Oryzias latipes: one gene and its partners. The protein of the gene in region 3 purifies or fractionates together with the protein of the main gene of each other region. This does not show direct contact. Links are inferred from orthologs where the notes say so. Each region holds a gene or a part of one and is shown on either strand. Other genes may lie near its edges.

Region 1 (4,715 bases), on a different chromosome or scaffold from region 3:
CATCTGCGCTATAAATTCAAACCCTCAGGTCACGTTAATGTGGCTTCATTTTAAGAAGCTGAGAAACTCAGATCAACCAGTTCATGGATTGAAAGCAGTTCTTTTGGATTCTAGTTCTATCTAAAAATAAATGATTTGTTAGTTGACTTACATAAGAAGAATGTATAGAAGCAGAAAGGTCACAAACCATACTGTGTTTAAAAATGTTAAGCCTCTTGCATTGTAAAGAGGAAACTGAATACCTGTTTAAACCGATTTACAAACTAATCCTGACTTTGGCTGATAGACGTTCCTTTGGCTGTTCTCACTCTGTGTGTGTGGCGCCGGCTCTGTTGTGCTTTGCCGGCGTTGATCAGCCGCTCCCACAGCTTGGTGGAGACGTTTGTGACGTGACAGGAGCACGTGATAGCTGACGAGTGAAGGGGAGCGAGGTAAGGAGTGGGCAGCGAGGGCCAACCGGGGGTCAGCAGGTCAATCACAACCAGCTCCTCCTCCAGAAGCACAACGAGAGCCGATGGGTCGTCAAACTCTGAGGGCGGGAAGACAGAAGGCAGGACATTTAAGATCCAAAACAGAATAAAAGTGAAAGGATTTATATCTGCTTGGATTCTTACCTTTGTCGTTGTCCATGTTGTGGACAGTAAAGAAATCGATCACTCGAGATGTGAAGTCCAGAGTGACATGCTCTTTGTCCTGCTGGATGGTTAGACAGTGACGGTCTCCATAGCTGGCTCGTGGCATTCCTCCACTATATAAGATCACCGGGGAACTAGAGAGAAGCAGAGGACCCTATTTGCAGAGGTATTCAGTCTTTTCTATTCAAACTGATCCAATTGTATTCCAGATATTTGTAAACTTAAGCAAATCTGTTTCTCAGAGCAGAGGATAATGGGTACAATCTCAGACAAAGTTTATTTAAAGACCCACTTTGGTGAAAATGGTGTTATTAACATTCTTCTGGCCTTTTCCTGACGATGGAAGACATATATACAGGAAATTAAGCTCAAAATGTTATTTTTTTTATTCAAATTGTAGTGAATAAAAAAAAAATGCTGTTAGAAAAAGATTGTATATGTGATGCAGAACATTGCTCTACATCACATATACAATCTTGTTATGTTGGAATTGTGAAGAAGCTGGCAAGAGAGCGTGTAAACAGAGAGCTCAGTTTTGATTGACAAGAGAGGGGGTGGGTTTTCTCCGCCCCCAAAGTTCCATCCACAACTCAGAGGTGAATTTCTAATGAACTACTGCCGCTCTGCAGAAACTATGTCCTAGAAAACAAAACAGGTTTCTTGATTTTGGCTAAAAACAGCATAATCATAAAAGATCACTGGAACGCTTTTAAATTCAATCAAAAGATCATCCGAGTGGAACTTCAACCACTCATTTTGATTAAAGAACCAAATCAGATGACAAACCTCAACTGTGTCGTCCTCCACAGGATCTTTGTGATGGCTTTGCAGGGAAAAGGACCTGAAACAGAAAAGTACTTTGAATTCACAACAATGTGCCAGTCCCAATAATTCAATCCTCACAAATGACTTAAGAAAAAGAAGAGTACAAAAATGAAGATTAAGCTCAGTTTAAAGACAAATATTTCTTATTGATGCTCCATTGTTCAGATCATTAACTACAGTTTGTGTCATAGCAGGTCTAGAGTCACAATTCACTTAAAAAAGTCACTTCCCTTAAATCTAAACAGCAAGCAGAATATAATAAAAGCAATAAATAAAGCCAGAAGTTATTTTTTAAAGATAATCCCCACAATCAACAGTGAAAGGACAGCTCAGGTCTAGTTTGAATAATGTTTTTGGTGATAAAAACATTTTTTATCAACAGTCTTGAGTCAAAATCCCAAAAATAAGGGCGGGTTGTACACAACCCTGAGGTTTATGAGGGCCAACGGTACAGAAGAGTAATAGTCTGCAATATTGAGAGCTTCAGCTTTTGCATTCAGATGAATTTCTCAAACAAAAAAGCCGCAGCAGGATAGAAACGTGATTATTTATGCTCATCTTTGAGCGGCTCGATGGGTTTCTCACCGTAGGGAATAGTAGAGGACACCGGCTGGTGGTTGTAAATGTTTCCGTTTGTAACGGCCCACACCGAATAGCCCCCATCGTTGTGGGAACTGACAAATAAGTTTCCAGAACGCTCCCAGACCAGGCTCTCCAGCTGCTGCAGAGCGGGTTCACATGCACAGCCATCAGAAGAAGGTCAAAGTGAAATCAAGTCAGTGGTTAAACACTTTTTTTTCTCTTCTAAAGGGAGTACCTGCTTTCCGAGGAACAGCTGGTCGGCGTGACGGGAACTCAGGTCCCAGAGGACCACCAAGCCGCGGCTGTAGCCGATCAGAATCTTGCCTGCCTGCTGAGGGTGTTCCTGAAGAGACTCGACTGGCCCTAAGGATTTCCCACATCTGTAATCATCTGGCAGGCTAAGGGAATGAAAAAAAATAATAAAAAATCTGTGTTTTTTTCTTTAGCTTCACATATAGTAACGCATGGATCTAATCCAGGAAAAATTGAATTATTTTTTAGGCCAGGACAAGGTGAGATAACGGTCTACACACACAGCTGTTAAGGAATTAAGAAGACGATATCTAACACAACATCTGTGAGAAGACAGGGAGGTTGACATTGCTCCCAAATCTAATCTTTACCAGATCTTATTTTGACAAAAGCAAAAATAAACTGTCTGAAAGGCAGACAGAGATGCACATATTTTTCTTCCACATGCAACAGCAGTAAGTTTAACATCAAATTGGTGAAGAGTTCCTGGAATCAAGAAGCAAGACATTCCTCTGAGACAAGAGAGGAATGTGGAGCGGAACACACCCTCAAGATGTCAGAGGATTCCCTCAGCTAAGCAGGAGAGGAGCAGCAAGACTGCAGAGTGGAGGTTTTTCAGAACACTACTGCAGATCAAGCAGAAACATCTCTGACACACACAAACACACACACACACACACACATATGCTGATGCCGTGATGGATGAAGATCCTCTCCGGAAGCACAGAGACAGAAAAAAAATCCCAACAAAGCATTCCATTGTCTCTGCCTCGGTGCTTGAAAGTATTTTTAGGGAATCCAGCATCCTGCTGCAGAGTCCCGGAGATGAACCTGGAAGTGTCTCTGTGGATGCGTGTCCCTCTGAAAGGGCACACTAGACGGTCAGCTGAAACACTTCCCGCATTTTAGCAGGAGACACAAAGCTCCACTATGCAGAAGCTCTGCTCTGTGGCAGAAACGCAGAATCAAACGAGTCTCATCAGAGCCATCAATAAGACATCAGTGAACCCCAACCTTCCTAAACAAGGAGAAGCAAACATGCCAAAAACATTTGTCCTGCAGCTTAAATTCCCATAAGGCAACATTACAAATGTGTGCATCATTATGACAGAATCCCATCCAGTTTCCAAACATGGAGAAAATGCAGCACTTTATCTTTATCAGGATTATATGACATTGATTCAAATTGATTGATGGTTACCAAGCAACAACTTATATGGTCGCAAAAAAACAATAGTTTTGGTTATGCATTTTATTTTACAACTATTTTAGCACTTCTATGTGAGCTCCTAGTTGTTTAGGGCTATTAAACCACCATCTGTCAGTGTTCAAACGAAGAGTTTTAAATAAAGTTTTGAAAATGAGCTGAAATAAAAAGCAATGCAGCTTTCTGTGGATACAACTTTATCTGCCGTAGAAAGACCCTAAAACTGCGTATTTAGTCTTCTTAACAAATGTTTAAAACCAAAGTGTCCTTCATTGACAATTATTAAAACAAATTTGAAATAACGAATAAAAACTAGGCAGATTATTTCGATAAAGTTGTCTTTCCTCAACTGTTTAGGCTGAAATTGTATTGAAAATCATACTTAAGTTTGTGTCTTTAAAGGCGACCACGCATCTCCATTCTTTGTTCTTTTACTGAAGTAAAAGCTTTAGAGATCAATAAGACTTGATTCATTCATCACCAAATTGGAGACCTTTAAGAATCATTACAAAAAAATAGACTTTTTGCTCAGCTCTGAAATGCCACGTCATCTTCTTCGTTTTCTACTTCTACTTCAATTGCTCAGATCCTTGTTGTGCTTTAAATCCAGCTAAAACTCTCTGCAAAGGAAATTCTTTAAGATTATAGTGATGTAAATAATGTCATTTGTTAATGTAATTAAAACAATAAAAATGCATAGTGTAGGCAATTCACCAGAAGTACCAGTCCAACAACAACAAAAAACACCTTCATCTTCATGACAGTCCCAGTCTGGGAAGCTGCAAAGCTCAGCCATAAAGTGACTACAGAGAATAAAACCTTTAAGTTTGTAGACCTTAATGTCACGTGGGTTAAAAAAGAAACACAAGGAAAAAGAAATGTATATGGTTGCTACTGATAACAACAACCAGGATGTTTATAAGAATAAAGTAGCAGTAACAGAGAACACAATAAAAACATGATATACAGCACTGGAACTTCATGAGGACCTTCTGGTTTGCTGACAGTGAGAAAACACTGTTCCAATAAAACAAACCACTTTCATAAAAATTGTGTTTTGGGTATTTTAATCATGTTCTTGTATCATTTTTCTGACAATGAAAGACATATATAAAGGAAATGTAACTTACAATTTTAATTTTTGAGTACCGGGTACTTCTTTATTTAAATTGTTGTGAATCAGGAGTAAATGAAAAAATGTGGTTTGAAAAAGA
Region 2 (5,420 bases), on a different chromosome or scaffold from region 3:
AAAGGTTCTTCATGGCTATAATGTTTCTGTGTTCGAGTTCATCCCAGATAGTCTCTGCTTCAGCTTCCAGCCATGATGGCCACTGGAGGCTGCGGTTTTCCATCTCCCTCTCTGACCGAGTCTGAAAGCTTGCTGTTCTGCGTTAACCCGAGAGGGAAAAAATTAAAACCAGATTTATAATTAGTGTATCGATGAAAATAAAAGAAAATATCATAAAATTCAGGAGAAGTGTTTAGGATCAGGCTAATATGTGTCAACAACAACATTTAGCTTCGGATGCATTTAAAGTCCTTACCGCGGGCAGTGCCACAATGTGCATCTTGGCTGTAAATGTGTGGGAAAAACTTCAGCCTTTATTTTGTCTGGACACGATTTGAAACACAAATTCACATGATTGCATGGTTTCTCAGGACTGCCCGAAGCGGCACTTCCGCCTTCAAAAGACGCCTCAAAGCTACTCTTCGGCTCAGAGACTCGGTTCTCCCGGGAGACATGGTCAGATTGAGGTCTGAAGCGTCCTCCGGAGCGTTGTTCATTACAAAGCACCCTTCCCACGAAGACTCCTGCTGCACTGATCAGACATGCTTGGCTCGCACAGAGCATGTAGCCACACCGAGTGAGCACTGACGTCATCGCCCCGCCTCCCCCCTGGAAATGCTCACTGGTATTGACTTGTACTACTTGCGACATCTGTGGCATTGTGCTGTGTGATACAACTTAAGATTTCAGAGTGGCCTTTTCTTGTGGCCAGTGACACTCTAAGGCACACCTGTGCAATAATCATGCTGTCTAATCAGATATGGCACACCTGTGAGGTGGGATGGATTGTCTTGGCAAAGGAGAAGTGCTCACTATCACAGATTCAGACAGATTTGTGAACAAAATTTCAGAGAACTGGTTATTTTGGGTATGTGGAAAATGTTTCACATCTTTTAGTTCATACTAGAGCCCTGCGCGGGACTATTTTCTTCATCCCGCTCCCGCCCGCGCCCGCTGAATTTTTGACCAATCCCGCCCGCTCCCGCAACGTATGCGTTACACTCCCGCCCGCTCCCGCAATATGTATGTCCACTCCCGCCCGCACCCGCAAAACTCATAGAATTTAGTCCCGCACAGTAATAGAGATGCATTGATTTTGTATCGTCTCCCGTCCCGCAGGAACAAAACACGTATTTGTATTGATATTATTACTAAAGAGATTCATGACCTCCTCCAGACTCATCTTTTGATGCATTCCTCTTTTGTGTAATGTGCAACTTAATTATTAAATATATTTTCACAAATCCTGTTCGGTTAAAAGTGTGCGTGTGTGCGCGCGCAGACAGACGGCCTGAAGCGCGCTCTTAGTAAGAGGCGGGGCGGGGCGCACCCCCAACAACAGGTTAGATGACAGAAGCCATTGGGCGTCTCTACCTGGTGCCTTCACGGAGCTTCAGTACATAAGAATCAAACAGCCGCACAGCCTAACGTAGTCCGCTAATATATATTCATGAGATATTCATGGCAGCACTGATCCCGCGGGGTTTATTTTTTGCCGCCCGCTCCCGCCCGCAGCACAATTCAAACCGCCCAATCCCGCGAGATTTGGGTTGGGTCCCGCGGGACCCGGCGGGACCCGATCCCAATGCAGCCCTCTAGTTCATACCATAAAAAATGGGAGCAATAACAAATGTGTTGCGTTCATATTTTTGGTCAGTGTAATTATGCTCCAGAAAAACTTATATGGAACTTCCGTTCAGAAAGTGAGGTTGAACTTTTGTCACAATTTAAATTCGAATCTCATGTAAAACCTTTTTATTAATGTTTTTTTAATCAAAAATATTAACATTCCATGACTTTTCCAAAACTTTCCAGAAGATTTCGTTTTTCACAAACTGTTCAAGAACTTAAAACATTGCATTTTCAATTTCCAAAACTTTTCTAGGTTTTTCATGACCGTATGAACCCTGTATCAAACGCCTCACAAAATCTGGGAAGAAAATGAAGCTTTCGTCAGTAATAACGTCTGAATAATCAATAAAATCAGAAACTAGCTTTAGATTGTTTTAAATGCATCTGTCTTTCAATATGAATTTCTAACACCCCCTAAGCACTAACTTCCGCCGAGCTGTAGGAGGCGCTCTCACCCACTGGATCACTTCCGTTTCAGCAGAGTAGAAGAACAGCCCCATCAGTCCTTCCATCCACGATCAGTGATTGTTCCCGTGCAGATCAGCGGCGGTCGTGTCAGTCAGCAAAATGAACGGTTTGGACGAAGAATCGTTGGCACCACAGACATTTTTATATGGTAAGAGAAGTTGGTAGGTTTGCTTTTCTTCTTCGTGCACGTTGGACACACGTGTGTGTATAGCTCGTGCGAGGAGGTGGAGCGGCCGCTGAGGCGCGCGCGGTCCATTTTTGAATAAAATTGAATGTGTAACGTTAAAGAAAGGGACATAAAATGTGTAGTCTGTTTTTATTTTATGACTTATGTGTTTTATTGACTGGATCATGACTGGAAATACGGCGTCAGACTTATTACGCACATGCTCCTTGAATATATCAACATGGCGGTCGCCGTGCTTTTTTTCTCCCCAAATGAAAACTACGTTTCTGACAAATACAGCTCATATTAATATTGCTTTTTAATTTACCCTAGCATAAGATATTCGTTGTGAAAAAATAAATAGATAAAAAGCTTTAAATTAAATTGCAAGACCATGAACTAATTTCTAGAAAATTCGACAACGTGGTTTCCAGCGTGCCGTTAGGCCCCTCCCCCTTTAAAGCTGACCTAATTAATTCCCTTTAGAAATATACTTACGTTTATATTTATTCACATTTGTTTATAATACAATTGCATATATTTTCTTTTGTTCTTCATTTCGTGATGTTATACGTTTTAGTCCTTTTATTGTAATCTGTTTCGTTTGCCACGTGGTGCAGAGAAAAAAAAGATTCTTTTTCTTTCATAAAGATTTATTTTAGATGGTGAAACAGTTGTTTAGAAATGAAGTCAAAATAGTTTTTATCTTCCAGTAAGTCATTACAAATTTGAAATTTACTCCTGCCAACACTTAAAAAAAACTATTTAGAGTCTCTAGAGTTTGTTTTTATTTTAAATAAATTATATCCAAGATAAAATATGGGAACTTTAAAACTGTTAAGCGGAAATCAAATACTTTTTTCTCCCACGTGGTGCATCGTTTAGAGCGCCCTCTAGTGTTGAGTTTGATATTTTCTCTCATTTTAAAACCGTTTTTTGTCTTTTAGGATGCACATTGGAGGCTGGGAAGGAAGTGCTCTTCAGTCCTGAAGATGATGAGCTGGAGCATCAGTTAGATCTCAAACTGGTAATTATAATGAAATGAAGACTACAGTTCTGTGATATTCTTGCGTTTGAGCTCTCATGTCGAATAAATTTTTAGGCACATCAATGGAAATATTTTGGATTTTAGCTTGAAGTCCTGTTTGTGGGTTTAAATGAGCGGATTTTTATCATTTTAAACTGCGTTTAAATTTCAGGCTTTATTTAATGAATTTAAATGTATTGAATTATAATGCATTAAAAGTCCCACTTGATCTTTTGTCAAAGTGTTCCCAGTGGCTTTTAAGCATGATAATGCCAATTTATGCCAAAAAAAAGTATTAAAAAGTGGTCTTGTAGGACATAGTTTCTGCAGGCCGCCAGGAAAAATGTGCCTCCGCCCCCTAACTTCATGTTTGAGCAGCCTAACTCAGTAAAACTATGTAAATGTTTTTCGCGCTTCTACTGGAATCTAGGCAGTCAGGGGCTCGGAGTAGCTGGTTTACCAAATGAACCCAGACACTAGGACAGGCCTGATGGTGCCTGCGTTTGTCTTTCAAATAACGAAACACTCTCCTAGCATGGTGGTTATCAGTTTCAATCATTGCAAGGGTGTTGGCAACGAACCAAAATGTTATCGTTTTGTGCCCAAATTGTGAGATTTGCACCGTTTTGACATTTGGCACCAAGCCTCTTCCAGCTATAGGTTTGGACGTGTTGGTGGTCTCTCCTTGCTTGTCCACAATGGGCTATGTGAATCTAGCTCAACATTAGCAGTGCAATAAAATGGTGAGCAATGTTGAAGCTATTCAGCCGTTCAGTTTGCAACAAATCAGCTCAGACGAGGAAGACGTGGATCTAGTAGTCAACAAGTCGACGCAGGATGGACCGGAGCAGGGAACGTTTGGCACGTTCATTGTAGCACCAGCGCCACAAATAGAATTACATTTCTTTCATCTGCTCCTCATTCGTGACTTAAAATAGACTCAAAAATTCAGGTTTAAGCTCAGTTTTCTTTAAATATGTCCTTCATTGTGAGAAGAATGCTACAAGAATGTTTAAAACGTAGCTCAGACCTTGTCTTGTTTGCCCCTTCAGGCTTGTGTTGACCCCAGCACCAAAGACGAGCTTAACATGGTGGAGGTGGAAGGACAGAACGCAGAGGGGCAGAAAATCAAGGCAGCTCTGGTGTCACTCAAACCCTCCACCCTTCCAAGTGTAAGTACACACAGTTCTCCTTCACTCACCTGAAAGGATATTTTACAGTTAGCCTTTGTATGGAGGACTGTACTGACAGATCTCAAATTTCGGAATAATTTTTTTTTTCTGAAGAAAAGATCTGTGACGTTGATGTGTTGTAGGTTAAGTTCCTGAAGCCCATTCTGTTTGTTTCGGCGCATTTAAATATGGATCTTTAAAGCCAGCTTGTGTGACCTTGCATGCTTGATTTCGTAGGTGTGTCTCGGCGGGTTCACGATCACACCCCCAGCAGTGTTCCGTCTGAAGGCGGGTTCCGGTCCGATCCATCTGAGCGGACAGCACCTCGTCAGTAAGTGTTTTTCTGAAGATGGTTCTTTTATCTGCCCTTCTGTGGGTCTGCATTCATCACACCATCTGCTGTCTAATCTGCTTTCAGTGATGGAGGCGGATCAATCCTTTGAAGAGGAAGACGACGAGGAGGAAGAGGAGGAGGAGGTGAAAACATCAAAGAAGAGGCCTGCTTCATCCCCTGCTGCCAAATCTCAGGTTTGACTTAAAAACTTTAACAAATGCCATAAAATGTGATGTGCTGGTTTTTACCTTCTTCTGATCTGCTGACAGAAAAAGATGAAAATGGACTTGGATGATGATGAAGATGAAGACGATGAGGATGATGATGAGTGAGTATTAACATTCTGACGGCAAATGTTTTCTTTTGTGTCTTGGTGTTGTCAGAAATCCAAATGGTGTTTGGGCCCAAAGTGGCGGGTCCTGGATCAGGTGTTTGTCTCTGAGGTCATTCCCAAAACTACATTCATATTTAGAAATTTGACTTTTTTCCTTTTAACATATCAGACTGTGGAGAATACTGCATGTGATCAACTTAAGCTGTTAATTCGGTGGAAATCCAATTCATGAATCCAGATCCACGATT
Region 3 (5,322 bases):
GTTGGTCCTACTTAATGTTAATATATTTAGGTTGGGTCAACTTAATGTATTTAGGTTGGGTCAACTTAATGTATTTAGGTTCAAACTAATAAATTTAAGTTGATTCAATTTAAATACAGCAGTTGCACCCAACTTTAAATTGATATTGTTGCTCACTCTAGAAAGAAGAAAGTTGATCCAATTTAATTGAATCACTTGAATTGGTCACACATAAGAAAATTAAGTTTATTTAACTTAAATTTCTATTTTTTTCTTTAATTTCATTTACACATCTGTAATTGATACTTTGTTCCAAAGTTACAACCTGTGGGTCTTTTAATTTTCATATCAATGACATGAATTACCCAGCAAGGTCCCACATCACAAGCCAGGAGCTCAATTGCCACAAACTCTGTGTTAAGTATTGGAACATTAGCATTCTACCACACCAGGGGGTTGGTCATCATCCTCTACCAAACTTTAACTCATGGTGCAAAAAAAAATAAACATAACAGTTTAAATCACTAGTTAAAACAGAGTAAAACAGCTAGACAATAAAACCCAGGGACAAAAACTCACACTTAGAGCCCAATCTGCCCAGATAGACAAAGAAAATGGTATCCCACAATTCCTTGCGATTACTAATGCATCCAATTTAATGGTATCACGTTGGATCAACATGATTGAAATTAGTAACTTTTAAATGGATTATTTTTATGTACAATCGACATGATTCATTCACGTAAGATTTACAAACATAAAATTTTCTGGTTGAAATGACAAGTTACTTTTTCGTTAACTTAATTGGCTGGTAATTTCCTTTTTTTGAGTGCTGTTTTGGGTCAGGATGCAGAACCAAACATTTCCACAGACGCTGAAGGCCCATTTGCATCTGATCCACAACAGCAAGAAACATCAGGTTTGCACATCATTTAAATTACTAGTGTAGTAGATATGATATGTATTTTTATAGTCACAGTGTGAACATAATTTCATGAAATGTATGATAATCCATACTGCCTCAAACATTTATTTATTCACAATATATGTGACTTTTTTAGGATTACAAACACAAAAACATCCACATCCATTACAGAGGCTTCAGTGGATGAAGAGCTGCCCCCTGACCCACTAACTGCCCCTCATGACTGACAGGAATCCAACACATCTGGTTTGCAGAGGAGGAATTCAGGTTCCATCCACATTTGTTTCTCTCAAGAATGAGAATGATAGAGGAAGCTGCCATCAGCAGTACTTCAGATGAACTTTAGTTAGTGGAGGAGAGGAGAAAAAACGTGGTTGGTGTACTTAAAAAAAAGGTTCTCGTGTTTTTGCTGCAGACCTTTTTCCAAAAGGAAAATGAGTTTAACAGACCCTGGATTAATGCCAGTTCTTTGATCACCTCACATGACAATAGATCCTATCCACTGCATGAAAACTAGAAAAGAATTAGATGTGAGGATAAGAAAGCTTAAGCTTATCAAAATGTTCCTAAGATCATCCAAGGCTCAAGATCAGCTACCTGGTCTGGTAGCTCTAATCATCAACCACTGAGAAACTAACAAACCAGGGTTTGACTGATGACTTTGCCCGTATTAATGCAAGACTGACACATTTTTAGTTTAAGAGAAGCAGACCAAGTTCATAGTGTAAGCTATGAGAATTTTTAATTTAATATTATGTATGTAGCCCAATATTAGCAAAGTTGTCTCAATAAGCTTCAAGCTTAAATTGCACTAGTTGTTAATAGATTTTTTACATGGAGGTCATTTCAAGCCTCAAGCAAACATGTGTGTTGTTATCCTTGTAAGACTTATTGTTACTTTTGGTATTTTTTTTCCAACAGTCCTATAAGCTGTACGAATTTACAAGCCTCTGGTTGCTTTTTAAAATAATTGTTAATAGTGAAATATTTGAACCATAAAGTAAACCATAATAAGCTGTTGTACTTTTCTGGGTAGTAACTGGGGGAAACTGAGGGGCGCTACTGGTGTGGCTGCCAGAACCGCCACTCCCGCTGTGGGTCGCAGCGGACCCGCCGCGAGGAGCGGAGCGGGACAGGTGAATTCTGACCCCCGTAACCATAGAGAGCCACAGAAATCTATCAAGCTGCGAAGTGAGCAACCTACAGTTGTGCTTTCAAAATAAAAGCATCGGCCTCTTCCTCAATGCTGCCGCTGCCTATCATAGTTTCAATTTGTCTTATTTTGAAAGTGTGGAGCGGAAATGGCCTAGTAGTTATCGAGAGCTTGACGGCTCCACCGTCTCCGAAGCCTTTAATGTTTCTGCACCGTAAAAAAACTTCAAAACCGCTCCGTTAGTTTTCTTTCCGGAAGTTTCCTCCCGGGTCCGCGCGGGATAGTCGCGCTGAATGCCCCGCAGCGACCCGCAGGTTGGGTTCGTCAAAGTTTGGGCCTGTCCCGGGACTTTCAGCAAACTGCGGGATGGACGCGCTGACGTCGAACGGATCCATCATGGACCTGGCCTCTAAGGTGGTGAAGATAAAAGCGCACTTCCGCGGGTAAGTGACCTCCTCCGGCGCGTGGACACCTGCGGAGCCAAGGCGGCGCGCGGTGTAGCGGGCCGGGCCGGGCCGGGCGCGCGGGCACACCTGCCGCCACAAGAATGAGTAAAACAAAAACACCGTTTCTGACTTTCTCACTGCAGGAAAGTTAAATAAGTCCACAAGTGAAAGCAGTGTGACCTGCTGGTCACCAGAAATATCAGACACTGAAAGGTTTGATGGACTTTCGGTCCCAAAGCCTCCATTCTCCTTCAGTTCGGGACATGAAGGTGAGCGCCGCAGTGGCTGATGGGTGGACTCTGACAGCAGGAACCCCAGAACGGTTCCTTCAAACCTGTCTGAGGAACTGGAGGTTCTTCACCCACGCAGGTCAGAGAACAGGTGGAAGTGAAGCAGAAGGACGTCACTAACCATGATCTAAAGGGAGACACGTGAACGCCTCTCCCAGTGTGTGTTCATCTGAACAAACCAGTAGTTGATAGAAATGAGTTTTATTTTGCTCTAGTTCAGAGGTGAACTTTCATTTCCTGTGTCTCCATTGATCTTTGAGCTTTGAAAACATCCCTCCTTGTGGTTTTAATGAGCTGTAGTTGTTGTGGGACCAGCGGTTGCCGGGGCGACCTGCTGCCTGGACTGAAGTTCATTCTTGCAGTGAGGAGTCCGGCTCTCCCTGTCACCTGAAGCTGAGGGGGAGGAGAGCTATTCTGATGAGGAGAACAAACATGATGAGTCTGGAACTAACCTTTAGCTTTGGTTCTCTATCCCACACATGAGGATTGAACAGGAAGTCTTTAAGCATCTATATTAAAGCAAAACTAATCATTTTAGTTCATATTTGTAATAAATCTTTGTTAATGATCCAAACTATTGACATATTAGATGTTAGATGCTGGCCTCCTATGTAGACAAGGGTCATTTGGACTAGGGCTGGGCGATATGGCCTAAAAATAAAATCTCTGATTTTATACTTTTTAATTCGATTTTAAGATTTTTCCCCCCGATGTCCCCCCCCCCCCCCCCCTTACTTAAGGAAAGCAATAAGTACAAACGGCAGACAACTTAAAGCAAATTTTGCTTTTATCTAATCAAACGCAAGACAAATGTAACCCCCATTTCTGGGATGAATAATAAGTACATGAACACACTCTTGGAATCAAAGTCCCAGCTGGGTTTTAAGTCACACTTTGTAGTCTAGACTAAAAGGAGACAAACATTCACCTTGAGAGTAGCACCATTTTCTAAAGGATTAACATTACAGCTCACATCTGGGATCTAAGGTTTTAATTCAATTAATAAACCCCGTCTTCTCCACGGTATCTATGGGTACCATCTCTTTGGCTATATGCCACCGTGCCCCTTTCATAGGGATGGGTACCGTGCCCCGGTATTGAACGAGCCCCGGGGCAACATTCTTCAAGACTGCAGTATCGTTAAGATCTGACCTCAACGGTTCTGCTATCTGTACTAGAGAAGTCGCATTTTTTCTGTGTCCCACAAGATATAAACAAGAGCTGTGACGGTGTGGGATTTTTTTTTTTTTTTTTTATAACTTTATTTATTGAACATTTTCTGTATTAAACAGACATACAGAGTGTAAAATGAAATGTAAAAAAGGCAATGTGTAAAAATAAACACTCACATGTCAACCCGTCCCACCCACCCCCGTCAACAACCCCCAGAGGCCAAGTCAGACACAAAAAAAATAAATAAATAAATAAAATAAATAAATAAAAAATAAAAAAGTAAATAAATAAAAAACACAAACCACTTGGGCTTTTTTTTTTCTTTTTTTTTAAAATAAGAAATACGTCCAGAAAAAAAAAAAAAAAAAAGAAAAAAAAAAAGGTAATTAAATACGTAGTAATAAGTGAGAAAACCAGGGTAACAGCAGTGGCTTTTTGTTGCACTGGTGCTCAGTCAGCCTCCAGATTGTGAGGAAATGTCAAGGAGTCCACATATTGTAGGAAAGGGCTCCAGGTCTCATGAAACACCCTGAGTGAGCCATGAAGTGAGTACCTAAGCCTCTCAAGTTTGAGATTGTAAAGCACCTCGCGGACCCAGCGGACATGCGAAGGGGGACGGGGGAGCTTCCAGTTCAGCAGGACCAGCCTGCGTGCTAATAGGGTGGTAAATGCAACGGCCCGCTTTAGTGCACTCGGCGTGTCTGAAGTTGGGGGGAGACCAAATATTGCCGACATGGGATTTGGTGTGACGGTGTATCTGTAAGCCCTCGTTAGTGTATCAAATACATCTGTCCAAAGAGCTGCGATCACTGGGCATGACCAAAACATATGGGCATGATTGGCAGGAGAGAGATGGCATCTGCTGCAGGCATCACTAATAGAAGGATAGATTTTGGCCAGTCTGGCATTGGTGTAATGGACCCTATAAACAATCTTACATTGAATCAATCTATGGCGGGCGCAAATAGAGGACAAATGGACAAGAGACAATGCCGACCTCCATTGTTGTTCCGTAATGTTAAGGTTTAGACCGTCTTCCCACGCAGTTTTGACAGTATCGGACGGCTTTGAGGATGCTGTCCAAATTGACTTGTAAACGCTTGAAATGCATCCATTAACAAAAGGGTCTTTGGAGAGAAGAACATCCAGAAGAGTTTCTGGTGGGCGATTTGGAAAATGAGGAAACAGTTTTTTAACATAGTCCCTGATCTGGAAGAAACGGAAGAGATGCTGATTCGGGAGGGCATATTTCTTTGACAATTGTTCAAATGAGGAAAATACATTGTTAGTGTATAAGTCAGAGATTGATTTAATCCCATTCCTGTGCCATAGTTTGAATGACAGATCTGTTTTGGA
Region 4 (5,435 bases), on a different chromosome or scaffold from region 3:
CCTGAACCTTCGGCAGACAGACGGAGGAGGAGGAGTCAGAAAATGCTTCACCTGCTTCTTTACCTTTACCACAGCTGCAGCAAGTGTAGACGTGTGTAAATCAAAGGAATACTTCTACAAACATCTGGAATGCTCACATCTGGCTCAGGAGCAGCAGCACTCGGACGCAGGTCCTCTTTCTGGAGGCTCGTCATCACTTCCTGAGCTGCTGTCCTGCTGCTCCCGTCGTCTCTGGAACAACAATGGTCGCAAAGATCTGATCTCAGAGAAACACCACAGACTGCTCACAGTCGAAATATTTGGATCAGTGGACTTTGAGACAAATTATTGAATTTTTGATCTGTTGAATCAGAAATGAGTCAGCTTGATGACAGTTTTGTCTCACAACTGCCATCAAAGAAAGAAACACTGGCACAGTTGACGGACATATCGGACACTTCAGTCAGGCATTCTCATTACATGACCCTTCACTCTAATTGTTAAAATAAAGCACCCTAAACTCACTTATTAGCGTGTGACATGCACACTGCAGACAAACTGCAGAGAAACAAATGGCTGCGAGGTCATCTGCCGGCAGAACATTGAACTAGAGAAGGTCAAACATCAGAGCTGCTCCCATTCAAGACACAGATACGCAACTTGATTTGCATTAACCTTTGCTGTGAAATGAGACAATAATCTTTCTTTTTTAACCTCCAGCCATTAAAGCTAAGCTTGTCTTACTGACAAATCCTTATGATATAATATGAACTAACTTACAGTGGTATCAAGTCAATAACATGGAAATTATGGGAGTTTTTTTAGTAACATTTTGCATCATTTCTGGCCTTTTTTCAACAGCAGAATTTCCATCCACATAAGAATGCAAACTTATCTACAGCCACTACCTTTAAAAAGGTTTAGTAAAGATAGATACATAAAAGCTCTTGGTCTATATTTACATGTATGTATATATGTAAAATTCAAATAATTAAATTATATGTGAAATAGTCAAGATAATTACAACATTTATCAGGAATTCATGGTAACATTATCTGTGCTAAATTCACAGAAGCTACTGTGTTCATAAAGAAAAGTTAAAAAAAGAAACTTAAAAAAAAACACCACTAAACTCACCCTTTAGGTCTGAATAATTTCCTTCAAAAATGTGGGGACATAAATCTCTCAAGTTGCTTTTGTGCTTTTGTACTGTCTTTAGGGAAGTCTGACAACAAAGAGACTTTTTTTTTCAAACTGATTCCTTAAAAAAAAAAAAAAAAAGTGCGGTCACAGTCGCAACCGATAGTTTGTAAATTAGCAGATTCAGTCCAAACCGTTACAGAATTTCCTAACTTAGAAAACAGTAGTTTCCATGGTGAACACATTTTTTTATAGAATAGAAAATAATCTTTTTACATATATTTATATATATATATTTAGCAAATTTTCGTGGCTTTGATAAAGGGGTTTAAAAAGCATATAAATTTATCTTAAAAAATGAATTGGCTGTATAGTGGGCGTTGAATGGTTTAAAAACATGTCAGACAGCACCATCTGATGGCAGCAAGACTACAATTTCAATATATATTGTCGCAAAGGATGATGCAATGTTTCTACATGACGGGCCTCTACCGGTTGAGATTGTATTGATATTTCTTATTTAATCAAATTTTATTTCACTTGTATGTGCTGTCGAGTTTATTATAAATAAATAAAGAACTCCCGCCACTAAAGAAGGCAGACAATCTCTAATAAAACATTCACATCGAAGACACAGGGGGGCGCCACTGAAAATGCACTACGTTTTTTAAAAGTGCATCATATTTTTTCAGCTATTTTTTAAAAATGTTTTTCCATTTAATTTTACCATCCTATTTTACCATCATATATAATCAGTTAGTGTTTAGTGTTTAGTAAAGTAAAGTCAACTATTTGATATAAAACTAATGTTTACTGAACTAAGTACTACTTCCGGTTCAGGGGTCATAGTTACGCTAGGTCAATGTGCCCTTCCACACGTGTTGCCGGTGTCTTCTAGAAGCGTTCCTGGTAGTACGTCGGTGCCTGCGTGTTCTTATTTTTCTCTCTTCTTTAAACAGTTTATAGTATCATGCTAAAGTCTCTGGTCCGCGCGGTGGGAGCTGCTGTTCGGCTGTCCTCGGCACCATCCGCTGCTGCACGGGCTCTGCCGCTCAGCTGTCCGACCAACCGCTCTCCTGGTTCGGTTGCATCTCGGCCCTTCACCCGCTCCCTGTGGATGTTGAACAGTAACGGAGCCCCGTCGGGATACAGACCTAAACTGTTCAGCTCAAAAGTACTAAGTCCGTCTGTGTCGTGTGGATGTGGAGGGCTGCACACGGAAGGTAGCTGAACGTCCGCATGTTTTTGTTTCATTTATCTAAAAAAAAAAGAGAACCTGTAAACACAAGTTTGGGTTATTTAAAGCAGCAAAACAGCTTAAGTTGCTTACAAAATTGAAAGACACGTGGCGGTTAATTGGGGTTTTAGACGACACGGCGAGCGTGCTGCATCCTGGTTTAGGAGCTAAAGAGCTGACATCACTTTGGCAGGCAAAGCTTTAGATGATAAACAATCAACTGATGTTTTAACTTGTCGCTTAGCAACAGTACTGCTAATTTCCAGACTTCACAAACTATTTGAATTTTACAGTGACCCGATTTTCCTCATTAAAAGTGCTTGTTTTTATTTCTTTTTTTTTTTTCTTTACTCCTTCCACTCGGCAGAAATTGCTCCTGGAAAACGACACAGGTTTTATAAAGATTTGGCTAAAAACGTCAAAATTATTATTTTTAAAAAAACCCCACTGTGAACGCTTTTACAATCGAGCGGGAGGTGATTGGAGTGGAGCTTTTAACATTTTAAACTAATCACAAGTGAAGAGTCCCTTTATATTTACATCTGTATTTACTCAGTCAGCATTTGTTTTTTTGAATATTCCGCTGGTGTGTTATCCATCAACACTTAAAGATTCTACACGATGTAGGTATTTTGTATGTAATTGTGTAACAATTGTTTCAGATAATGCATTTTATCAAGTTTTTTCACCTCTAACTTGTCACATGTTTAAACATAAAACATTAAGGTTCACTGATAAGTTTTTCCAAATCCCCTCTGCCGAAGCCAATAGTTTACTCATATAAAGTTATGTTGTCATCCCATCCTGTGTGAAATGTGGATTCATGTTTTTTATCAAGTTGTCCATTCTACATCACACAGTTTCACCTAAATCTGTTGTCTTTTTCTCAGGAGACAAAGCGTTTGGTAACTTCCTGTCCGATGAAATCAAAGAGGAAAAGAAGATCCAGAAAAACAAAACCCTTCCTAAGATGTCTGGAGGATGGGAGCTTGAGATGAACGGCACAGAGGCCAAACTCACAAGACACCTTTCTGGTGAAAAGTAAGGCGATGGCTCACTCTCTGAGGACAAAGTGACCGTGTAGGAGTTCCTGCAAAGCAGCTTTTATTTTCTGTCTTCAGAGTGACGGTCACATTCAACGTTAACAACAGCATCCCTCCAAGCTTTGAGGAGGAGGAGGAAGCGCAGCAGCAGCAGAAACCAGCAGAGGAAGAGGTGAAGCTTTCGAATTACCTTCTAGATTTGTGATCTTATCATTTATTTATGCTCACTAGTTGTTGTTTTCCTTTGTAGCCAGAGATTGTATCTACGCCAAACTTTGTTGTTGAAGTAACAAAACAGAATGGGAAGCACACGCTCGTGTTTGACTGTCATTTCCCTGAGGATGAGGTATGAATTAAAACGAAGAAAGAAAGAAAAACTTCTGGATGAAGTGGTTAGGTAAAAAGGTGCCGACTTTATCCAATGTAGATGAGTCATGGTGAGGGGGAGGAGGAGAGCGACATCTTTGCCATCCGGGAGGTCAGCTTTCAGCCAGAGGGAGACTCTGAGTGGAAGGAGACCAGCTACACCCTCAACACAGACTCCCTGGACTGGGTAAGAGCTGCTGTGAACCATGAGCACACGGGGGGTCATGAAGGTGGGATGTTCTCAACTCTGCTGGGTTCTTTTTAGGCGCTGTACGATCATTTGATGGACTTCCTGGCCGACCGCGGCATTGATAACACCTTCACAGACGAGCTCATGGAGCTCAGCACTGCCATAGAGCACCAAGAGTACATCAAGTTCCTGGAAGATCTCCAAAGCTTTGTCAAATGTAACTAATATTTAACTTAACTGTCTGTTCTCCAGATGAAATTTCAAAGGACTAAAGCACTCAAGACTCATGTTTGGCACCCGGCAACAAGAATGTTGCTTGTTTTTCTGTAACTTCAATAGAAATATTTGTCAGCCATAGTGATCATTTAGTTTCTCAGCCTCTATTTTACATCTCATGTCCCCTTTAAATGTGTAAACGTTCAATCAAGACCTGTTCTAAAGCTAATAAAGAGAATTGTCAGTTTTCATTCGAGAATTTGTCACATTCTGAGGTTTTACTTTAGGAAGTTTTTATGTTTATTGAGGAACATTGACATTTTGTTGGTGGCTTAAAAACAAAATAAATACACACAAATTCCACACAGAACCAATTCAAGGTTTTAGATCATAATCATCACCTTACATTTTTCTCAATACAGTAAAACTTGAACAAGTTCAGATGCTTCAAAACTGAAATTATTTGAAAGATTCTTTATAATTTAGAAATGAATAGAACTGTTTAAAGGAAACAAATGGAAAAACAATATTAAACTGTTTATGTGCAATAGAGGTTGATCAAACCTTAAGCTCCTCCTAAGAAGCAACCCCGCCCCCCTTCCTCCCAGCTATTTCCCACGCTACAAATAAGCTCTTTTTCATCTGCTCTTGATTCACAATAAATTAAAAAAGAATCACTCAGAAATGCAATTTTGAGCTTAAGCTTCCTAATGTATGTCCTCCATCAGAGAAATACCACAAGAACATGATAAAAATGGCAAAATGTTTGCATTGGACTGGATCTGAAAAAGCAGACACATTCTGTGCTTGATGTTTGTAATAAAGGCAACACAAAAACACAAGGTTAAACAAGGTTTACAGGTTTCATTTGTGTGAAGGACACCAAAAGGTAAGATCAATACTTGAAAGTGTTGCTATGCCACGAGAGACGGATAAAGTTTATACAAATAGCTCACCAGCCTCTCAAGAAAATAACATTAAATAAAGCAATGGTAACCATGGAAGTGTGTTTGCGTATTAAATTAGGTAAAGCAAAAGTTTCAGTAATCCATAATAGCTATGTGTGTACTCATGTGTGCAACATTTAACACCAACAAAATATTTTAAAAACTGGTTTGAGTCATGGTAAGCACTTTTACTTTACAGTGAGAAGGCCCTGGTTCAAATCCCAGCTGGGTTCTTTCTGTGTGGAGTTTTTCTGTGTGGGTTTTCTTGGGGCACTCCGGCTACCCAGTCCAAAAACAAGGTTCATGGGTTAATTGGT
Region 5 (3,945 bases), on a different chromosome or scaffold from region 3:
AGCAGAAATTCCAGCCGTGGAGCAGATGCCGGTCTGGATTTAATCAAGTGAACTTTTGCCACAGCGTGCATGGAAAACTGGAAAACTGGAAAACTTCACGCTCGCTGGCGTTCAGGGGAGTGAAAGGGAGCATTTATTTAGACACCGGAGAAAGTGTTGGTCTTTTAAAACCCAGTTTATCCCTCTTGTTTTTTTTTTTCTTCTTCTTCTTTCTCTAATTAGTTATTTTAAATTTGCTGGATTAGGAAATTATTGCTGAGTCGACACTCGGCTTTCAGAAGGAGTTCAGTGTATTCACGGTGTGAGGACAAACCGGAGGGAGTCTCCGTTCACGACGGTGAAATCCAGCCTTGGAACCTAAAAAACAGAAGAGAAAACCTGAATGTGCAGCAGCTGATGGTCCCGCTGTGGAACTTCACTTCCTGTCCGATCAGGCGTCGCTGTGTGCAGATTTCCTGTCCGCCTGAGGAGAGGAAGATGCCTCAGATTCAAGTTTCTTCTGCCACTGAGGGCTTTTTTTATTTAAACTCACACGTGTAAAGCCAATGATTAATTCTGCATTTTTTAAAGCTCCACTGCAATGAAAATGTTTTCATAGATAAAGAAAATGTAGCTAAAAATGGAATATTTCTAGATATAAATCATTGTAAAACAGGAAAAAATACAGTTTGAAAAAGAGTTTGTGTGACGTAAAAAAAAACACTGAAGGGGCCACAAGCCCCCAGCGACAGGGGAAGGGAATAGGGGGCGGAGTTGCCCCACACTAACAGTCACAGTCGGAGGTGACGTTCTGCTGCTCTGCAGGAACTATGTCCTAGAATACAACACAAGTATAATTCTTAAAAAAGACGACATTTACAATAGATCAAAAATGATGGGACTTTTTTTTTAACCCAGCATCAGTCTGGATGGGTTTGTGATGTTCTTCAGAACACGTCAGAATGTTTTAACCATTGGTGATCTTCATCACGATGGATTCCCTTCAGGAAGACGCGTGCGGGACGCCACAGGTGTGTGTTTGGACGTGCCGCAGCGCTGAGTGAGCAGAGGAATGCTCTGCTCAGGTTAACGGACATCTCCTTCTGTGATTCTCCGTTTGTTGTCCACTTTCAAAATGTTTTTTATTGCTCACATCTGGAATGGAAAGGGATGAAATGAAGAGCGCGCTTTTCATGTGGAAGTCATTTTCGGCCACATCTGGGTGAGGTTTGGACCAAAGGTTTCTGGCGGTACGGCAGATGGTTTGGTTTATGAAGGAATCATGCACGGACTGTTGTTTGACCTTTTTGGTGGAAACGTTTCAAACGCCATTGTTGTTTTTCTCGTTTCTGTTGCAGAAGAGGTGGACTACAGTACTTTTGGCACCAACACAATAACGCGTAAGAAGAAGGCTGTCGTGGCGCTGCGCAACAGCGACATCAGCCGCAGGCGCCCCAACATCCACATCGGCATGCCGCACGACTTCCGGCCCGTTTCCTCCATCATCGACGTGGACATCCTGCCTGAATCTCACCGCCGCGTCCGCCTGTACCGGCACGGCTCGGACAAGCCTCTGGGATTCTACATCCGGGACGGCACCAGCATGCGCGTGACGCCTCACGGCGTGGAGAAAGTGCCGGGCATCTTCATATCCCGCATGGTGCCGGGGGGTCTGGCCGAGAGCACCGGGCTGCTGGCCATCAACGACGAGGTGCTGGAGGTGAACGGCATCGAAGTGTCGGGGAAGTCGCTGGATCAGGTGACGGATATGATGATCGCCAACAGCCACAATCTGATCGTGACCGTCAAGCCGGTGAACCAGCGCAACAACGTGGTCCGCAGCAGCAGGATCTCCGGCAGCTCCGGCCAGTCGTCCGACAGCAGCGGGTCGACCGGTTACCCGAGTTTGTCGATGGCCGTAGCGCGGGAGACGCCCCCGGGAGCGCACGGTTACCACGACGACCTGGAGAGCGACGAGGAAACGGATATCGTCATCGAGAGCAGCCTAAAGCGGCCGTCTCAGCGGTCCAGCTCCTCTTTAGCGTCGAGCGCATCACGCACGCAGCAGCAGCAGCTGCCGCCGTCCCACCGCAACCCCCCCACACGGCCCTCCTCCATGGTCCTCACTGCGTCCTTCCACTCCCAGACGAGTCTGAACGGAGGGTCCCCCCACCACCACCACCACCACCACGGCAGCCTCAACCAGCAGCTCCACAAAGAGCCGAAGCACAGCCAGCAGCAGAAACCCGGTCAGCCGCAGCTCCACAGCAGCAACCCCGCCCTCCGACACAGCAACGGCAGCCTGCACAAAATCCTCAACTCCCTGAAAACGGACCCACGACACAGCTTCGCCCTCCCCAAGGGAGGGGTGGAGGAGGATGGCACCGTCATTACCCTATAATGCCCGCTAACAGACAGAAACATCAAAGCTGCTCACAGACTCAACTGGAAACGCCAGCATTTCACTTCAGACACACACTTCTGTTGATTTGTACTAGATTATAGGAAGATTCCCGCAACTACAGTGTAAATACGTGTTGTATTTTAAAAACACTCTTAGTCCAACAAGAGAAGATCCTGTATTTTCTTAAAGCTTCAGAACAAACAACTGTTTTTAGAGGATTCCACTGTAGCTTCCAGATCTGAATGTACTGACAGCTCGTCTCTGAGTGACCACTGATCAGGATCCTTTTATAATTCCTATTTCTTGGACCAACGTGGGCTTTTTTATTTTTTAAGAGTAAATGTATATTCTTATGAATGCTGTGTAGATTATGTTTTTAATGTCTGTTATGCATCGATGATTGTGATCAAATCATGTTTCTTTTTCAATAAATTATTCTATCTCTTTTATGCAAGCTTGAGGATATGATGTTTCTGGTTATAAAATGTTTGATTTTTAATATTTTCTTTGAAAAGCGCATCACTTTGAGGTATTTTTATGACAATTTAGAACATATTTGCCTTTCTATTTTCATTCATCATTAAAGATGAATGAAAAAAAAAACAGGCTTGCTTTCTATCTGAAAGACAAATGTCATAGAAAACCCAAGCAGTCTTTAAAAAAGCAACACTACTCTAGCGTCTGCATCAATTTAAATGTCCAATTTGACCTTTGGAAGTCTTTGTTTCAAATGCATTTGTCCCAGAATGCCATCAGCTCACTCGCACACAAGTTTTGTTGGGGAAGTAAGTATTTCATTTACAGCTGCTAAAATGAAATATTTAAACGATACACAATTCCCTCATCTATTATTTTTCATCGAATCCCAAAGAAAATGCAAGTAAGTCACCGATCTATGTTAAATTCTGCAAATTTATAGATGCAAAATGTGACAATTTTTGCTCCAAAGATTTGAATTTGAAAAAAAGATTTTTGAGTTTAAACTCTTAAACGTTCTAATCAACTCTTACGTTTTTAATATCTATGTGGTTTGTCAAATATTCCATGATACATATATTTTTTTCTCTCAGATTTCAGAAAGTATAATTGGACGGTTTTTGGAAGGATTGCCTGTAGTTTGGGAGTTCTACTTTTCTATGATTTTGGATTGCATTTAATTTTTATTGGATTTTCTGCGTTTACTCTGAGAAAGCTCCAAAATAAAAGCACGAACAGGATGTCAATCAGTAAAAATATATATTTAAAACCAAAGCAACTATTTTTATATAACCATGACCCAAATTGACTTTTTAATTAAAAAAAACATATGGGTTAAGTGGAAAAATTGCTGAAAACAAAGAAAATACAGTTTAGCTTCAAAGCCACCCACTCCCCTAAACATTCCTTCAAGTGTGCATATGTTGAGCTGAGTGGAATTAATCCACTAAATCTTTCCAAATAAACGCTCCAAAGTACAAACTATTATTTGTGTGCTGAATGATGTGATAACAAAGCTTAAGAACTGAGTTCAAGTCTCTGTCAAAGTCTCCTGTGTTTATAAGAACTGCTGCCACCTGCTGGCA
Region 6 (5,405 bases), on a different chromosome or scaffold from region 3:
TAAGGAAAAAGCCTTAGCTATCACAAGAGCTAACCCAGATGGATCACTGTGGTTACCAACTAGCAATACAGTCTGACTATGTTCAAAACATTTTGTGGAAACACATTTTGATAAGAGGCCAGACTGTTTGCTTGAAACCCGGCACCATACCATCTGTGTAAAACAAATTGATCACTCACATGAATCAGTAGGGTGAATCTATTGTTTCTTGTTAGGTTTTTTAAGGGTAAAGCTGTTGTTAACTTTTGGACTTATTGTTGACTTATTAATATTTTATTATTATTTATTATCATTGACTTATTATTTATATATTGTTATAATTTATTATTATTATTATTGACCTACTGTTGGGCTTTTCTAAATAATTTAAATTACATGTTAAAGAGGTCTAAAACTTCTATATTTCTATATATTCTATATATATATATTCTGTATTTTCCAAAAAAAATATTTTTATTATTATTTTTATTTGTAAGAAGTCCTGCAACTATGCATTTTTCATTAAAGTTTGAGCTTTAAAGGCTGACTGTTTCTCTTATTTAACAACATACGTTGTTTTTTAAAATACAAATATATTATATATTTATATTTATGTATAAATATATAAATATATATAAATTATATAAAAGCTACTTAGATGCCACTAAAGGCTATAGAAAGCATTGTCATATGGGCGCTGACGACCTCACCGAGATGGCGTCGCGTTCTGCCACAGTCAGCCAGGCTTCCCAAGCGGGCGTGTCTCCTCTAACGGTATAACTCATTGGCAAACGTTTACATGTATTTAAAAAAACATACAAGATGTAACTGATGGAACTTTACAAGGCTAGAAATAATCAATAAAAACAAGTAAGCAAGTGTCTCTTTTGCATGGGTGTCACACAGAAGGTAAATTGAATGATTTGATTAAGAAAAACTGTAAATAGAAATATGCACAGCAGCAGCTGTTTTAAAAAGGGGTGGGACCAAACAAAAACAATTTTTCTGCCCACTCCTTTTCAAGCACATTGTTTTGTTTTATTTTCCTATTTTTAACTCTTGTGTTTATTTTCAGTTTGTGTTTGAAATAATAAAAAATGTTTCAAATGTTGCAGTTTCACCAGAAAACACTGAAGGCAGGTTGTAGAATTAGATTTCTTTTACATACATGTTAAAATTTTTAATTTTATACCAAAAAAGACATTTGTATATCCAGGTTTCTTGGATATTATGTTTATCTTTATTAAATTATTTCTCAAGTACTATAGCTTTGATTTTATTGGAGCTCAAAATTGCACTGATTTATGGGTGGGTTTCTTTTGACCAATCGGTGAACCCATAAGGGCTTTAAACTTTACTTGTTCCGCCCAAATGCCATTCAGGGTTTTGAGCTTATGTTGGGCTTTATGTTATCTGTGTTGAATCCAATTTGGGAGATATCTATGTCTATTTCAACATGTCTATGGCTTAACAGCAGCACTGACAGCAGTTTCACAGGAAGACTTTACCTGCTTACATTTTAGTATTTTATTATTTCTATTAGTCCGAACACTGTCAGCAGACCTGTCTAAATCAAACCGCTTATCGTCATGAAAAACCTTCTGAAGTACAACCACAGATCAGAACATTCACTTACTTGTATTTCAGCCTAAATTAAAATGTGGGCATCATTGACTGCTGTGACAGAAATATAGATTGACCAAGAAGAAAAGGTAATCAAGTTAACTGACACATGAAGAGATGCAGGATTCTGAATGCAGACAAAGCTACTGGAAAAAGATGTTCCCCAGAATGCAGTTATATCCCCTCCAGCTTCAGAAGATCAGACCTTTCAGTTCTCCTTTATTATTCAGTCTTTTTTCTAGCTAAAAATAGTGTTTTTCATGTCAGAAAAATACAAAGAAATTTAATATTACTGTCGTCACAAAAGATACAATTTAAGTTTTTGTTTTTCAGTCTTGGAGAAGAAAATCAGCAGAGCATCCATCGAAGCTGCTATTTCCAGGAGGATAGTGAATGCCTCAGGGGGCGGAGTCAACAGGGAAGTGAAGTAGATCTAAGCAGGAAGCAGCGAACCTTCCGCCGCTGAGGAACGGACAAACCTGGCCGGAGTTTTAAACTGTCCACACGCGCGAAGGTTCCGGACCAGCAAAGCGCTGTTCAGACTCAGCAGTTGGACACTTTAATTGTAACCCTGTATAAGAACAGAAGTCCCGGACCACTGGGATTCGGACTGGAACCAGCGGCTGTCTCTTTCACAGCGGCGGACCAACTGCCGCGGTGCACCAGGTGGGTCGGGGGAGGGCCCAGAGGGATTCCGCAGTGCTGATCCCGCAGGTGTATCATATCGGTGCTGTCATCCTTAAGTTATAATGGTCCGTCACGGCCACGTATTGGGCGTTCTCGGGTCTTCTTGGTACCGCCGAGATGGAGGGTTCGGGGCGGACTGCCTAATGTATAAAATCGGTAGAGCCTTCGCGACGCGGCACAGGGTCCTGGTTCCGAACAAAAGAACCAGAACCAACCTCGGTCCCGTGTTATGGTAGATTCTGTTTACCAAATTAAATCAATTTGGATACAAGAGAGAAACCCGAGGAGTGAGGTTTGGCTAGTTTGTTGTGTTGTGAACTGATTTCTGAAGTTTAGCCTCCAGTTTTCTTCTGTGATTTGATCATCAACCGGTTCGGCTCTCCTTGTTCTCACAGTTCGGCTTTTAGCTCGGTTCGCAGTTCGTAGTTTCCGACCACATTTACTCGGCAGGGGGACACTACCGCGCTCGGCAAACCCGACATGAAGAGTGGGTGTGCGGCCCTCTTGGCGATGTGACGTCTCACCTGCGGGGAAAGGTGAGTTCATGTTCCGGCTGCTTGCGTAAAACACGGAACTGTGTCTGCGGAAAGGTGTGTCCGCTGCAGGCGTGTCCTCGAGGTTCAGAGTCAACCATCTGGGGGGGTTTGCAGCCTCGGAGAGTTGACGGTCCGGTTCTGAACCCAAACCTGCAGGACCTCCACGAGTCTGAAGAACTTTACAAAGACAATATGGCAAGCGAAACAAGTTATAAAAATCCCAAAGAAAAGTGGTATAAGGACACCATTTTGGCCTTAAAAAAATCGCCGATTTCTACGCCCGTTTAAACGTAGTACTAGTACGTAATTTATGCCGTCTTGTGTTGTTTCACAAGCTGTAATGTTTGAATAAATTGGCTTAGGCCAACGGTGACCATCAGTTGTCTGTGATAGCCTGGTGGTTTAAGCAGCAGAACCATATACTTTTTTCTCATCGTGTTTCTTTTTCTTTGGGTGACTTTTATCAACAGTATTATTTTGATCATAGTTCGTTTTTGTTGTTGCTCTTCTTCTTTTTTGTTGAGACTTTTCTTGATCAGTAAACTCTTGGTTTCATTGTAGTTGTTCTTAAGAAGATATTAATATGAATTTAAAATCACGTTTTGTTTGCCTAATGAAATTTAACCATGTATTCAAAAGTATCAATGCGACCGCTGGATTCAAACCCAGGTAATTCCAAGAAAAGCATTGCAAGCACGTCATTATTCCACTACACCAGTGTTTTTCAACCTTTTCTGAGCCACGGCACACTTCAACCTTGACAAAAATCCCGCGGCACTCCGGCGTTCAAAAAAAAAAAAAAAGGAGAAATTCGGTCTGTATAGATCTACAGTCCCTCCATAATCTCAGTGCATTTTTGTGATAATTGTGGCAGAAAAAGCTGGAAGCTGCAGCTGTATTTTTAAGATGTAATAAAAGTTAAGTCAAACGATTTAAAAACTGTTTGATTTGTGGTCGTTGTGGTTTCAGGACGTTAAGAGGAGAGAGTCGTGCGCCCAGACGCTCAGTGTCGCTTTACCCCAATGCATCATGGGAGATGTAGTTCAATTATCCGCCGAACGCAGAGAGACTAGCGTCTCTGAGCTTCATTGTCTTGTTCACTTGTTCCTCGGTCTGACACCGGATTCTGTGGAAAGCTACACCGCTAAAGACGAGCTTTGGCTGGTATTTTTCTTAGAACTGAGCGACTTTTTCAGCAGAATTCAGAACAAGGAAAAGGTGACTTTAACCACTTCTGATTGGTCAGACTGATGACATGTGATTAAGATCCCAAGAATGATTGGTGGAGACAGTTAAAGGGGCGGAACTTTTCCTAACGCAGCTGAAGCTGCGGCTAAATCGTGGTACAGTCATTCTTATGAAAATGTATTTAATAGAATCAAATAAACACAAAGAAAAAAGTATTTTACGATCTTTCATATTCCCAAGTTCTTAGTGTTTTATCATGTAGGGATGAACAAAGAACTGAAATCCTGGAGATGGAAAATGTTGTTAAATCAGTTAATGAGGGCAATTTCCCACGGCACACTTGACCATCTCCCACGGCACACTAGTGTGCCGCGGCACACTGGTTGAAAAACACTGCACTACACCACCTGTGAGCACTGAGAAACTGACTTTGTCTGTCTCCTAACAAGGGCGACTTAACACATGTTGCTGTACATAGACTTATTACCAAAGATGTGTTCATCCTTGAAGTCTTTTTTTTCTTTCAATGTTTAAATGGGAATCAAGCGTTTCTGTTGTAACAGCATGTTGGTTTGGTAATTTGATGACTACAAAAAGAGATTTCTTTATTGTCTCCAATATTTATAGTTTATTAATGTAATGCATACTTGTAAAAAACCAAAAAGATGAGGAAGAGCTACAAGAAACTAACTACAATCAAAATAAAACTGTTGCTAAAAGTCGTCAGCAAAAGAAAAGGATAACAAACGCAAAGAAATGGGTGTGTAAAGCCTGGAGTTGAACTCACAATTCCAGCATGAGAAAAAGGTTAAGTTGCTTAAACCACTAGTCCATTGCAGGTAACTGATAATCTCCGTCGGCCATAGACAAGTTATAGCCGTTTTCTACGCCTGTATGTGGCAAAAAAAAAAAGCACACACAAGACGGCGTAAATTTTGTTCTACGTTTCAAACGCGAACTGTTGGAAACAAGCAGGGTTATTGATGGCCACAATTGATGCCATCAAACAGGTGTGCATGTGTGATCCCGAACACACCCGTCCGATGAGACCTTTGTCTCTAAAGCTTCATTAACCTGTTCCTCAATAGGAATATTTTTTTCCAGCATGCAGGCCAGCTGGAAATTTGTTAGTTTAAATAATGATGATGATGATGATAATAATAAAAATAGAACAAGTTGATACAGAAGTGTAAGTGGTAGAACACAAATGAGCGTAAAAATACGAGAAATACTAGTGTGCCGCAAATACTACAAGAAACTGCCTAAAATACTTTGGAAATATCAAGCTATAAATAGTAAATTGTTATAAAATTAATCCTAAATGCTTTTAAGCTTTTTCTGTTCACCTGTTCATATTATCAGGATTCTTCTGAAGGAGTTAAACTTTTGGAT

What was found.
Region 1: the proteins of prkcz (region 3) and llgl1 purify together in Homo sapiens (affinity purification with mass spectrometry; 6 studies listed by BioGRID and IntAct, counting the BioPlex papers as one, with this or other methods). This does not show direct contact. The link is inferred for Oryzias latipes from reciprocal best matches to the Homo sapiens genes PRKCZ and LLGL1.
Region 2: the proteins of prkcz (region 3) and nucleophosmin purify together in Homo sapiens (affinity purification with mass spectrometry; 3 studies listed by BioGRID and IntAct, with this or other methods). This does not show direct contact. The link is inferred for Oryzias latipes from reciprocal best matches to the Homo sapiens genes PRKCZ and NPM1.
Region 4: the proteins of prkcz (region 3) and c1qbp purify together in Homo sapiens (affinity purification with mass spectrometry; 5 studies listed by BioGRID and IntAct, with this or other methods). This does not show direct contact. The link is inferred for Oryzias latipes from reciprocal best matches to the Homo sapiens genes PRKCZ and C1QBP.
Region 5: the proteins of prkcz (region 3) and partitioning defective 6 homolog gamma purify together in Homo sapiens (affinity purification with mass spectrometry; 6 studies listed by BioGRID and IntAct, counting the BioPlex papers as one, with this or other methods). This does not show direct contact. The link is inferred for Oryzias latipes from reciprocal best matches to the Homo sapiens genes PRKCZ and PARD6G.
Region 6: the proteins of prkcz (region 3) and llgl2 purify together in Homo sapiens (affinity purification with mass spectrometry; 7 studies listed by BioGRID and IntAct, counting the BioPlex papers as one, with this or other methods). This does not show direct contact. The link is inferred for Oryzias latipes from reciprocal best matches to the Homo sapiens genes PRKCZ and LLGL2.

The regions. Positions count from the first base shown.
Region 1 is NC_019866.2:18,052,797-18,057,511, reverse strand, and holds part of llgl1 (lethal(2) giant larvae protein homolog 1), read right to left. Parts: intron 2,441-4,715; coding exon 2,278-2,440; intron 2,182-2,277; coding exon 2,046-2,181; intron 1,477-2,045; coding exon 1,422-1,476; intron 770-1,421; coding exon 615-769; intron 530-614; coding exon 309-529; intron 1-308. UniProt on the Homo sapiens protein: Cortical cytoskeleton protein found in a complex involved in maintaining cell polarity and epithelial integrity. Involved in the regulation of mitotic spindle orientation, proliferation, differentiation and tissue organization of neuroepithelial cells.
Region 2 is NC_019872.2:18,721,339-18,726,758, forward strand, and holds the start of nucleophosmin, read left to right. Parts: upstream 1-2,123; 5' UTR 2,124-2,238; coding exon 2,239-2,287; intron 2,288-3,252; coding exon 3,253-3,332; intron 3,333-4,384; coding exon 4,385-4,504; intron 4,505-4,741; coding exon 4,742-4,835; intron 4,836-4,922; coding exon 4,923-5,032; intron 5,033-5,107; coding exon 5,108-5,166; intron 5,167-5,420. UniProt on the Homo sapiens protein: Involved in diverse cellular processes such as ribosome biogenesis, centrosome duplication, protein chaperoning, histone assembly, cell proliferation, and regulation of tumor suppressors p53/TP53 and ARF.
Region 3 is NC_019865.2:32,863,795-32,869,116, forward strand, and holds the start of prkcz (protein kinase C zeta type), read left to right. Parts: upstream 1-2,211; 5' UTR 2,212-2,423; coding exon 2,424-2,500; intron 2,501-5,322. UniProt on the Homo sapiens protein: Calcium- and diacylglycerol-independent serine/threonine-protein kinase that functions in phosphatidylinositol 3-kinase (PI3K) pathway and mitogen-activated protein (MAP) kinase cascade, and is involved in NF-kappa-B activation, mitogenic signaling, cell proliferation, cell polarity, inflammatory response and maintenance of long-term potentiation (LTP).
Region 4 is NC_019872.2:21,255,453-21,260,887, forward strand, and holds c1qbp (complement component 1 Q subcomponent-binding protein, mitochondrial), read left to right. Parts: upstream 1-1,958; 5' UTR 1,959-2,089; coding exon 2,090-2,342; intron 2,343-3,246; coding exon 3,247-3,397; intron 3,398-3,477; coding exon 3,478-3,571; intron 3,572-3,649; coding exon 3,650-3,745; intron 3,746-3,826; coding exon 3,827-3,952; intron 3,953-4,030; coding exon 4,031-4,180; 3' UTR 4,181-4,427; downstream 4,428-5,435.
Region 5 is NC_019869.2:23,985,183-23,989,127, forward strand, and holds the end of partitioning defective 6 homolog gamma, read left to right. Parts: intron 1-1,337; coding exon 1,338-2,380; 3' UTR 2,381-2,832; downstream 2,833-3,945. UniProt on the Homo sapiens protein: Adapter protein involved in asymmetrical cell division and cell polarization processes. May play a role in the formation of epithelial tight junctions. The PARD6-PARD3 complex links GTP-bound Rho small GTPases to atypical protein kinase C proteins.
Region 6 is NC_019877.2:17,363,780-17,369,184, reverse strand, and holds the start of llgl2 (lethal(2) giant larvae protein homolog 2), read left to right. Parts: upstream 1-2,018; 5' UTR 2,019-2,268; intron 2,269-2,298; exon of another isoform or gene 2,299-2,581; intron 2,582-2,684; exon of another isoform or gene 2,685-2,739; 5' UTR 2,740-2,825; intron 2,826-5,405. UniProt on the Homo sapiens protein: Part of a complex with GPSM2/LGN, PRKCI/aPKC and PARD6B/Par-6, which may ensure the correct organization and orientation of bipolar spindles for normal cell division.